Sus scrofa: one gene and its partner. The protein of the gene in region 2 purifies or fractionates together with the protein of the main gene of each other region. This does not show direct contact. Links are inferred from orthologs where the notes say so. Each region holds a gene or a part of one and is shown on either strand. Other genes may lie near its edges. The genes, in order: YIPF3 and SLC22A5.

Region 1 (4,453 bases), on a different chromosome or scaffold from region 2:
GACGGTAATGAAGACAGAAAACGCTTCCAGGAAGAACAGCCCTCTGATGCTGTGCTGACTGACGCAGCAGTGGCACAGAGACTCGAGAGCCCCGCTGGGTCTTGGAGGGCATGGCCACTTACCTGTGTGACCTGCACTCCTTTAGTTTTTATTTACTTATTTATTTATTGCTTTTTAGGGCTGCACCCACGGCCCATGGAGGTTCCCAGGCTAGGGGTCTAACTGGAGCTGTAGCTGCCAGCCTACATCACAGCCACAGCCATGCCAGATCTGAGCCACATCTGCGACCTACACCACAGCTCATGGCAACACAGGATCCTTAACCCACGGAGCGAGGCCAGGGATTGAACGCGAAATCTCATGGTTCCCAGCCGGATTCGTTTCCGCTGTGCCACAACGGGAACTCCTGCACTCCTTTAAAAGACATGCAGACCTCAGCAGAGAATGCCCCAAGAGAATGTGATGGTGACAGGTTTAGCAGGAAAGTTGTTACTTGAGGGAACCAGCGTGCCTCCTGCCTCTTCCTTCTTACCATTCCTCTAGGCCCCACTGAGCATTTTCTTGAAAAATGTACTTGAAGTAATATGAACATTGCAGGTAGAAGGAATAAAAGTACCAATCACTTCTCCACTTCTTAAGTGACTGGCTCCTAATAATACCTTGGATCTTGGCTAGATTTTTACTTTCTCTTCAAAAGCTGCCCTGTCCCACCCTCCAGCCAACCCCTCATCAGGTGTCCCTCCTACATGGCAAATGAGTGCTCCACGGCTGTGCCCGAGGATAAGGTTCCCATTTGTCGTCACCACTAAATCAGACACAACTGTAGGATCTGACACAGAGCAAAAGCTTAGTAAATACTTGTAGAGTGGTACTGGGTGTTTGATAAGCATTAGCTGAATTAAAGGATGAACAAAGAATCAAAGCAAGATTAAATCTGGTTTTTGAAACATAACTTGACAACAATGTACCAATGGTCTGGTTCAGAGACTATTTTAGTGCTGGGAATAAAAAGACAAGGAGGAGTTCCCACTGTGGTGCAACTCGATCGGTGGCAGCTCTGGAGCACTGGTTCAACCGCCCAGCCCGGAAGAATGGGTTAAGGATCCAGCATTGCCACAACTGCAGCATAGGTTGAAACTGCAGCTGGGATCTGATCCCTGGCTGGGGAACTCCACATGCTGTGGGGTGGCGACAAAAAGAAAGAAAAAAGATAAAACAGAGCCTGCTTTTTGAGGAGGTCTCTGGGGAGACAGACCCAGGAATGACAAAGTACAGCATCGCTGAAGTGCTGTCTGCTAAAGGAAAGCAAAGCCCTAGTGGAGCATCAGGAAAGGAAAGGATAAACTTGGAACAGGGAGCAAAGGAAGTGACATTTGAGCTAGGTTTTGAGGAAAGATGAGAAGTTTGCTAGATGGAGAAGAGGAGGAAGGTGTGTTCTCGCCAAGCCCTGTTCTGTGACTGGAATCATGAAGAGGGGATTCTAAGGGCTTGGAGTCTGCTTGTAGAGTGGATGAAGGGCTAGATGTCAGGAAGGCAGCTTCGGTCAGGAGGATCCTCACCTGCTTCGCACCTGTGCAGGCTCCACATCAAAGTAGGGTCTCAGGATGTCGATGTTGGCGTACAAGCTGAAGGCCCTAGAGGCTTGTCTCTTCCCCGCCTGCCACATCTGAAGCAAGGAAGACCGGGTGGGGTGGGAGGGTATCGTGAGACTCTTGGCTTTAAGGCCCTTTTGCTTATTTCTTGTTGGATCTCTACATGGTTCTAACTGGACAAGCTGGGGTGAACTTCACTAATACCAACTCAGAACCAGAGGCCTCAGGATACTTTTCCACCTGTCAGAGAGCCAGTCTTGCTTACCTGATCAGCCACCTGCCGGCTCAGCTGTCCCTTAAAGCCCTTCATGCCCAGAAACTCCCCATCCTCTTCTTCAGCGGCAGCTGCATCAGCATCCACTTCTTCCTCACGCAGGCGCTGATGCAGCTCACCCATATCCTCGAAGCTGGAACCTGAAGTATCATCCATGTTCTCCATGTCAATCACAGCTGAGCCCCCACCCTGTGAAGACAACGGATCCCACAGTGGAGGACCTTTCTGCTCCATCCGTTATGTCCTTCTCTGTTCACCGGAGAGCTTGGAGCTTTGTCCTTTCACTGCTGGAGATACGGCTTAGAATTACCATAGACCATGCCACTCCCCTCCCCTCAACTGCTCTCAGAACCTTTGTTTGGCTCTCTTTTCCAGCCTGGGAAACCTACTCCCTGTCTTCCATACGTGTCCTTTTCCTACCAAAGCCACAAAAGGCTGCAAAAGTGCCCATTTCCTTTGTGTTTTCCACCCCAAAACAAGGCTGCGCGCACAGTGTGGTTTTGGCCAGTGAATCCCGCCTACCCCCCATCCCACCCTCGCCCCTGGCCGTGCCCGACCTTCTAAGTTGTGCGGAAAGCAAGAGCAAGGGGGCTCAGAGGTACTAGTGTGGACCTTTTAGGTCCGCACTAGTTCCACTGCCTTTCACGTGCACGAAGACCCAAAGAAGACAAAAAGTTCTGCAAACGGAGCAGACTTCCAAGGCTCGAAGGAAGAGTCCCCATGACACTTCAGGACAGCTGCAGGCCGTGGGGCTGCTGGCAGCCGGAGCCGTGGGGCGCTTACCTGGATGTTTTCATCGAATCCTCCCCATTCCGGGCCAGCCCCATTTCGGGCGCCGCCGGCCGGCGCCGCCGGAGTTGCCATGTCCCTCGAGGGCTCCCGTCGCTGAAGCCCGCGCTAGTCCCGCGCGCTGAGGAGGAGTGGGAGAGATGAGGGCCTGACGGATGGACAGGTCCAGGGACTAGAAAGAAAGGTGGGATCGGCCGGAACGCAAAAAGGAGAAAACCGGATGTTTGGTTAAAACTGACTTCCGGTATCTGAGGACGTGGACGGAGGCGGGGCAGATTCTCGCGATATTTAGGATTCCGGGAGGTGGTGTGTTGCCACGGAGACGGGGCAGGGAGACTAGAACGCACGCGCAGGCTTGGTACTCTAGTCACATGGTGGAGTTGAAGATGGCGGCGGCTCAGGCTGTGGAGGAAATGCGGAGCCGCGTGGTTCTAGGGGAGTTCGGGGTTCGCAATGTAAGTCTTGTGGACTTGACCTCGGGAGGAGAAATCAGAGCGGAGCAGGGATGAGTTAGAGTCGGAGTGGGGATGAATTTGGCCTCGCTGCTCCTTCGCGAACAGGTTCGTTTCTCTTTGCTCTAGGTTCATACTACCGATTTTCCCGGTAACTATTCGGGCTATGATGATGCCTGGGACCAGGACCGCTTCGAGAAGGTGGGTAGAGCTGGAGGTGTTCAGAGAGGGTATGAGGATCGGATCTTGCACTCTGAACATCCTGTTCCTCGGAAACTGCCTTGGGGGTTCGCTCTGGATGTGTTAGGCACTCGATGTGCACAATTTCTGCTTTGTTCTACAAGCTAACGAGATGGTTCGGTCTTTTTGGAAAAGAGTACAGGTAACACGACTCTAGTGAGTTGTGGTAAGGGCGATTAACAGCAATAAAGATTGAAGCTGCACTCCCTTTCGGGTGGGACTCGAACTCAGCCAAAACCCCCATTGGAACTTGAACCCATGGTCCCTGACGTAGGAGGGGACTCAAACCCACTGTCTTAATTGATACCGCTCACCTGCTATCGTCAGGACTTCCTGAGCCTCAGGTTTTGTCTCGTGGGAAAAAGAATTCAGCGTGAGGCAAACCGATACACAATAAGTGAATTTATTAGCATAGGACGCTTGTCAGAAATACTAATGAGCAGGCAAGGGAGTGCGACCCAGAGAACAAAGAGGGCTACATTTTTATAATCAAGGTGAAAGTGGGGCGGGGAGAAGACCACCTTATTTCTCATTCTTGGGTAAGATGGTCCAGGCTTGCATCATCAGTTCCTCCTTTGACCCTATATGGTCTAAGGGGGAGTGTCATGGGCTGTTTAAATCATAGGTATATTAGCAGAAGCGGTAACATATGCGAAAATGTGGTAATTCGTTTCAGGTTGCAGAATAATTTCCCCTTTCACCTAGTTTTTTCCCTCTTTCACCTTGTCTACATGCAGCAATGCCAGTCTTCAAGGACCAATAACTCTGACTTCATGTAACAAGATTGAAACCCCATATCTCTTGTCTTGGGTTTTAACTATCAGGACTTGTGGCTTGTTTCTGGTGCTTAGATACACCTGGTCTTCCTTCAAGGTGGTGTAGATTGTTGCTAAGTTACTGGATTCTTAAGTGGTCGGTTGTTGGCTTACAGCAGTCTTCAAACCCCCTTAACATTTCCTTTTTGTCTTTAAACCCTAGTGGGACTTCTAAACTATGTGATTATCCTACTCTATCCCCATCATTCCTTCCTCCAGCTGTTTTACTCCATTATGCTTAAATGAGCAAATAGGGAGAGACCGATCATTAGCTGCTTCCTCCTGAGATGG
Region 2 (3,807 bases):
GCTTAAGCCCTGGCTCTGGTTGTGCGTTGCCATGGCCTCATGTCGTAGGCACTGGGTGAAGAGGGAGCACACTGTAAGTGAGAGTCCTCAGGGTAGCTGAATGAAGGAAGCCAGGTAGCTGAATGAGCCTCCAAGATAGAGGACAGGCAGAGGGAAGGGCAGTACATATCAAGAGAGAGAATACAGCTGAGGGACTGGGGTAGGGATGATGAGATCACTGGTCCACATGGACATGAGAGCATGACATGGCCAAGCGTAGAGGGAGAAGGTAGATACCGATGAGTCGCAATCATGGCCTAAGAGCAGCGGCTACCTGGTGAGGTAGAAAATAAGGTCCGCAAAGTCTCAAAGCACCCACATGCCTTGCAGAGTCAGCTCACTGAGTCAGGGGTTGGGATAGAGGAGTGCTAAGGAAAAGCTAGAGGCTAAGAGGGCAGTGCAGAAACACTGCACTGCCTGGAACAAGCAGAGGAGAACAGCAAGGTAAAGATCTGGGCTGGGCTGCGCCGGTGGCTGAAGGCAGGCTTCAGGAGCCCGTTTCGTGCCTGTCTACCTAGTGTCCAGCAGGTGGCACCACCACTCCTCAGAAATGGAGGTGGCTAGCCAGGGGAGGAATTCCCATCCTGGTGTGCTGGCCCCTTGAAATTTTGTGATCTCCCGTGTATCCGAAGCTCACACTTCAGGTCATTCCTGGGTGTAGTAGGGTACATCTCTTAGCTTCTGTCTTGGAAACATCGAACATTCCCCAAACCCAGTTCTGGTTCCGAAACCCCATTTCCCGCTTCCACTTGTGCTACACTGGTCCGTTAGGCAGGAAGGCCTCAGTCAGATTGCTCCTTGCACTTCCAGGTTCATTCCTGAGTCCCCCCGATGGCTCATCTCTCAGGGACGATTTCAGGAAGCTGAGGTGATCATCCGCAAGGCTGCTGGACTCAATGGGATCGTTGCGCCCTCCACCATCTTTGACTCAAGCGAGGTGAGCACTGTGTGAGAGCTGGCGGGAGGGTCTTGGTGACCATGATTTTAGGGTCGCACCCAGAGCCCCAAAGCCCCCCTTTCACGCAGCAGCCCAGCCCTCTCTGCCTGAGTGACAGCTGCCCCCAAGGCAGGCCCTGTTAAAATTCAGAAATTGATTGGGTTTAGGAGATTCTAACTGTTATATTTAAAATGGATAAGCAATGAGATATTACTATACAGCACAGGGAACTATATCCACTCTCTTGGGATGGACCGTGATGGAAGAAAATATGAGAAAAAGAATATAGATAAGTAGATAGATAGATATGGTACTGTGTCACTTTGCTGTACAGCAGAAATCAATACAACACTGTAAATCAACTGTACGCTAATAAAAATTTTTGAACAATGAATTTTAAAAACTCAGAGGTTGAGAGGAAGGTGCTAACTGCCTAAATCCCTTCACCTTTTCCATGGATTTTAGGTTTTCATACTTTATATAATTCTTTTCAGTTGAACCATTACCTTTAAATACTTTATTTACTTATTTAGTCTTTTTAGGGCCTCACCTGTATCATATGGAGGTTCCCAGACTAGGGGTCAAATTGGAGCTACAGCTGCTGGCCTACACCACAGGCATAGCAAGGCAGAGCCCTAGTTGTGTCTGGGACCTACACCACAGCTCTCAGCAATGCCGGATCCTTAACCCACTGAGCAAAGCCAGGGATCGAACCGGCGTCCTCATGGATACTAGTCGGGTTCGTTACCATAACAGAAACTCCTATTACATTTAATAAGAAAAACTCTTTATGAGTAATAGGCCTCTTGTGAAGTTGGTATTTGGGAAAATTGTTGTCTCTTACACCTTAGGTAGTCCCTCATCTTAAGAAAAATCTTGCAGTACCTGAACTGTGAAGCATAAGTAGATTTAGAGTTAGACATGTCCTGTCCCTTTCCTGCCACCAACAGGGAGTTGTTGAGTGTTGTCTTGGAGCCTGGTCCTTTTGGATACTCGCCCTCCCCCGCCCCACCCTCCCTGTGAACCCTGTTCCCACAGGCCAGGAGTAATTTCCTGGCTCTGCCTGACTCCTGGGTCTTGCGTCTCCTTCCTGTTCCCTTTCTTTCCACCCTCTCTGCAGCAAGCAGTTTTCCTCATCTCCTGAAGGGTAGAAGTTGTCATGGCTGGCCGATGGGGTTCTGGAGTGTATCTCTGTTCTGATGCGAAGACAAGGGGCTGGCTGTGAGAACAGCCACCAGCAGTCATGCTGCAATGTGCAAAGGCGTGTTAGCATGTCAGGCTCTAGATGCAGACCTGGGGCTTGGGAAAGGGAGACCAGTTATTATGGGCAGCAAAGAAGCTGCTGGCCACTTGGCAGCCCTGCCAGCCTCTCAGTTAAGTGGTGATCCAGCACCAGTCCCACTTAGCATGTCCTAGAAAGGGCCCTGGTGCACAGAGGGGAGGGGTCTATGCAGGGAGGGCTTTTAAGGGAGCTAGCCTCCGTAGCTCTGCAGGGGTCAGTCTGTGTGAACCCGTAAGTCCCACTGGCATCTTTGTGGAAATGGGGCTATTTCAGGGGATCTGTTAAGTCAAAAGTTGACCTTTTGTTGAACCACGGACTTGGGAAAAAACAAACTCCAAAGCTGGGTTTGCTTAAGAAAGCAACCTCAGTGTGTTTAGACGTGTGGTTTATTAATGTCCTTGGCTGTGCCAAATTTCATAGGAAGTTACTCTGGGTGAAGCTGAGGTCAATTTTCCTGTTTTTCTATCTGAAAAAATTTTTTCCCTGGAAGTAGTCCATAACTTCATGGTATGAGGACTGAAAACATTAATTCTTTTAAAATATCCTATCCATAAACTACACAGCCAGTTTCTTTCTATGACCCAGAAGGCTGGGAGCCAGCCTCGGGGAGGAATGCTCAGCGGCCTCCCTGGAATGTGGCCATTGACTGGGCTGGGGGTGGTGCCGGGAAGGCGCAGTCAGCTGGGGCCTCCTCCTCCGCTGCCTCATCACCTCAGGGACTGGTCGCCTCCTCTTCCTCCTCACTCTTGTTCACTAATTTGTTATCGACAAGGCCTGGGGAGCCTTCTGCAGCCCAAGATACAGTCACTATAGTCCTCTTCTTATCCAGCAAGACGCATAAAACATTCCCCAACCCAGAGATGTGCAAGGCTAAGATGCGAGGGTTTCAAGTATGTTCTCGCGTCTCTGAGTCTCCAACCTTCTCTCCCTCCCATACCCTTGTCATGTTGTTCCTGCAGCTACAAGACCTGAGCTCCAAGAAGCAGCAGTCCCACAGCATTCTGGATCTGCTCCGAACCCGGAATATCCGGATGGTCACCATCATGTCCATAATTCTGTGGTGCGTGAGTGAGCCCTACCTGCGTCCAGACAAGGTGCTGGCCGTGGCCGTCAGGCCCTGCATTTACAGACGCGTCTTAGACCAGAATTCAAAGCCTGTATCATCGGGGATGTGTCTTGCGATGAAAAGAAATGGGCATGTCCAAGTTCTTAATCTCGGAAGAGGAGAATGAAACTGTTGTGGGGGCTTGGGGGGAGATATGGGATCTCTGGGGATCCCTTCGGGTCATAAGGCAAGTCATTGCTCACTTTGGGTCTTAGTTTAGTTGTTCCAGTCACCTGTGCATCAGACATTGACCGAGGAGGACAGCTGAGGCCTTTTAGAAGTTCTAAGTGAAGACACCATGTCCTTTCGATTACAGAGGATGCTAAATACATTCTGAAAATGTGGAGACAGGACATCCTCCCTCTGGGATGGTTGAAGACGGTCCTGGAGGCAGAGCCAGGGCCTATATGTCCTCATCAGGGCCCTTCTAACACAGCATTTCTC

The links.
Region 1: the proteins of SLC22A5 (region 2) and YIPF3 purify together in Homo sapiens (co-immunoprecipitation; 3 studies listed by BioGRID and IntAct, counting the BioPlex papers as one, with this or other methods). This does not show direct contact. The link is inferred for Sus scrofa from reciprocal best matches to the Homo sapiens genes SLC22A5 and YIPF3.

What each region holds. Positions count from the first base shown.
Region 1 is NC_010449.5:38,508,559-38,513,011, forward strand, and holds the start of YIPF3 (protein YIPF3), read right to left. Parts: upstream 2,876-4,453; 5' UTR 2,731-2,875; coding exon 2,650-2,730; intron 2,154-2,649; exon of another isoform or gene 2,101-2,153; coding exon of another isoform or gene 2,056-2,100; coding exon 1,858-2,055; intron 1,667-1,857; coding exon 1,560-1,666; intron 1-1,559. Other genes in the region: POLR1C (DNA-directed RNA polymerases I and III subunit RPAC1), read left to right, coding at 3,027-3,110, 3,237-3,308. UniProt on the Homo sapiens protein: Involved in the maintenance of the Golgi structure. May play a role in hematopoiesis.
Region 2 is NC_010444.4:134,677,642-134,681,448, forward strand, and holds part of SLC22A5 (solute carrier family 22 member 5), read left to right. Parts: intron 1-849; coding exon 850-976; intron 977-3,217; coding exon 3,218-3,318; intron 3,319-3,807. UniProt on the Homo sapiens protein: Sodium-ion dependent, high affinity carnitine transporter. Involved in the active cellular uptake of carnitine. Transports one sodium ion with one molecule of carnitine.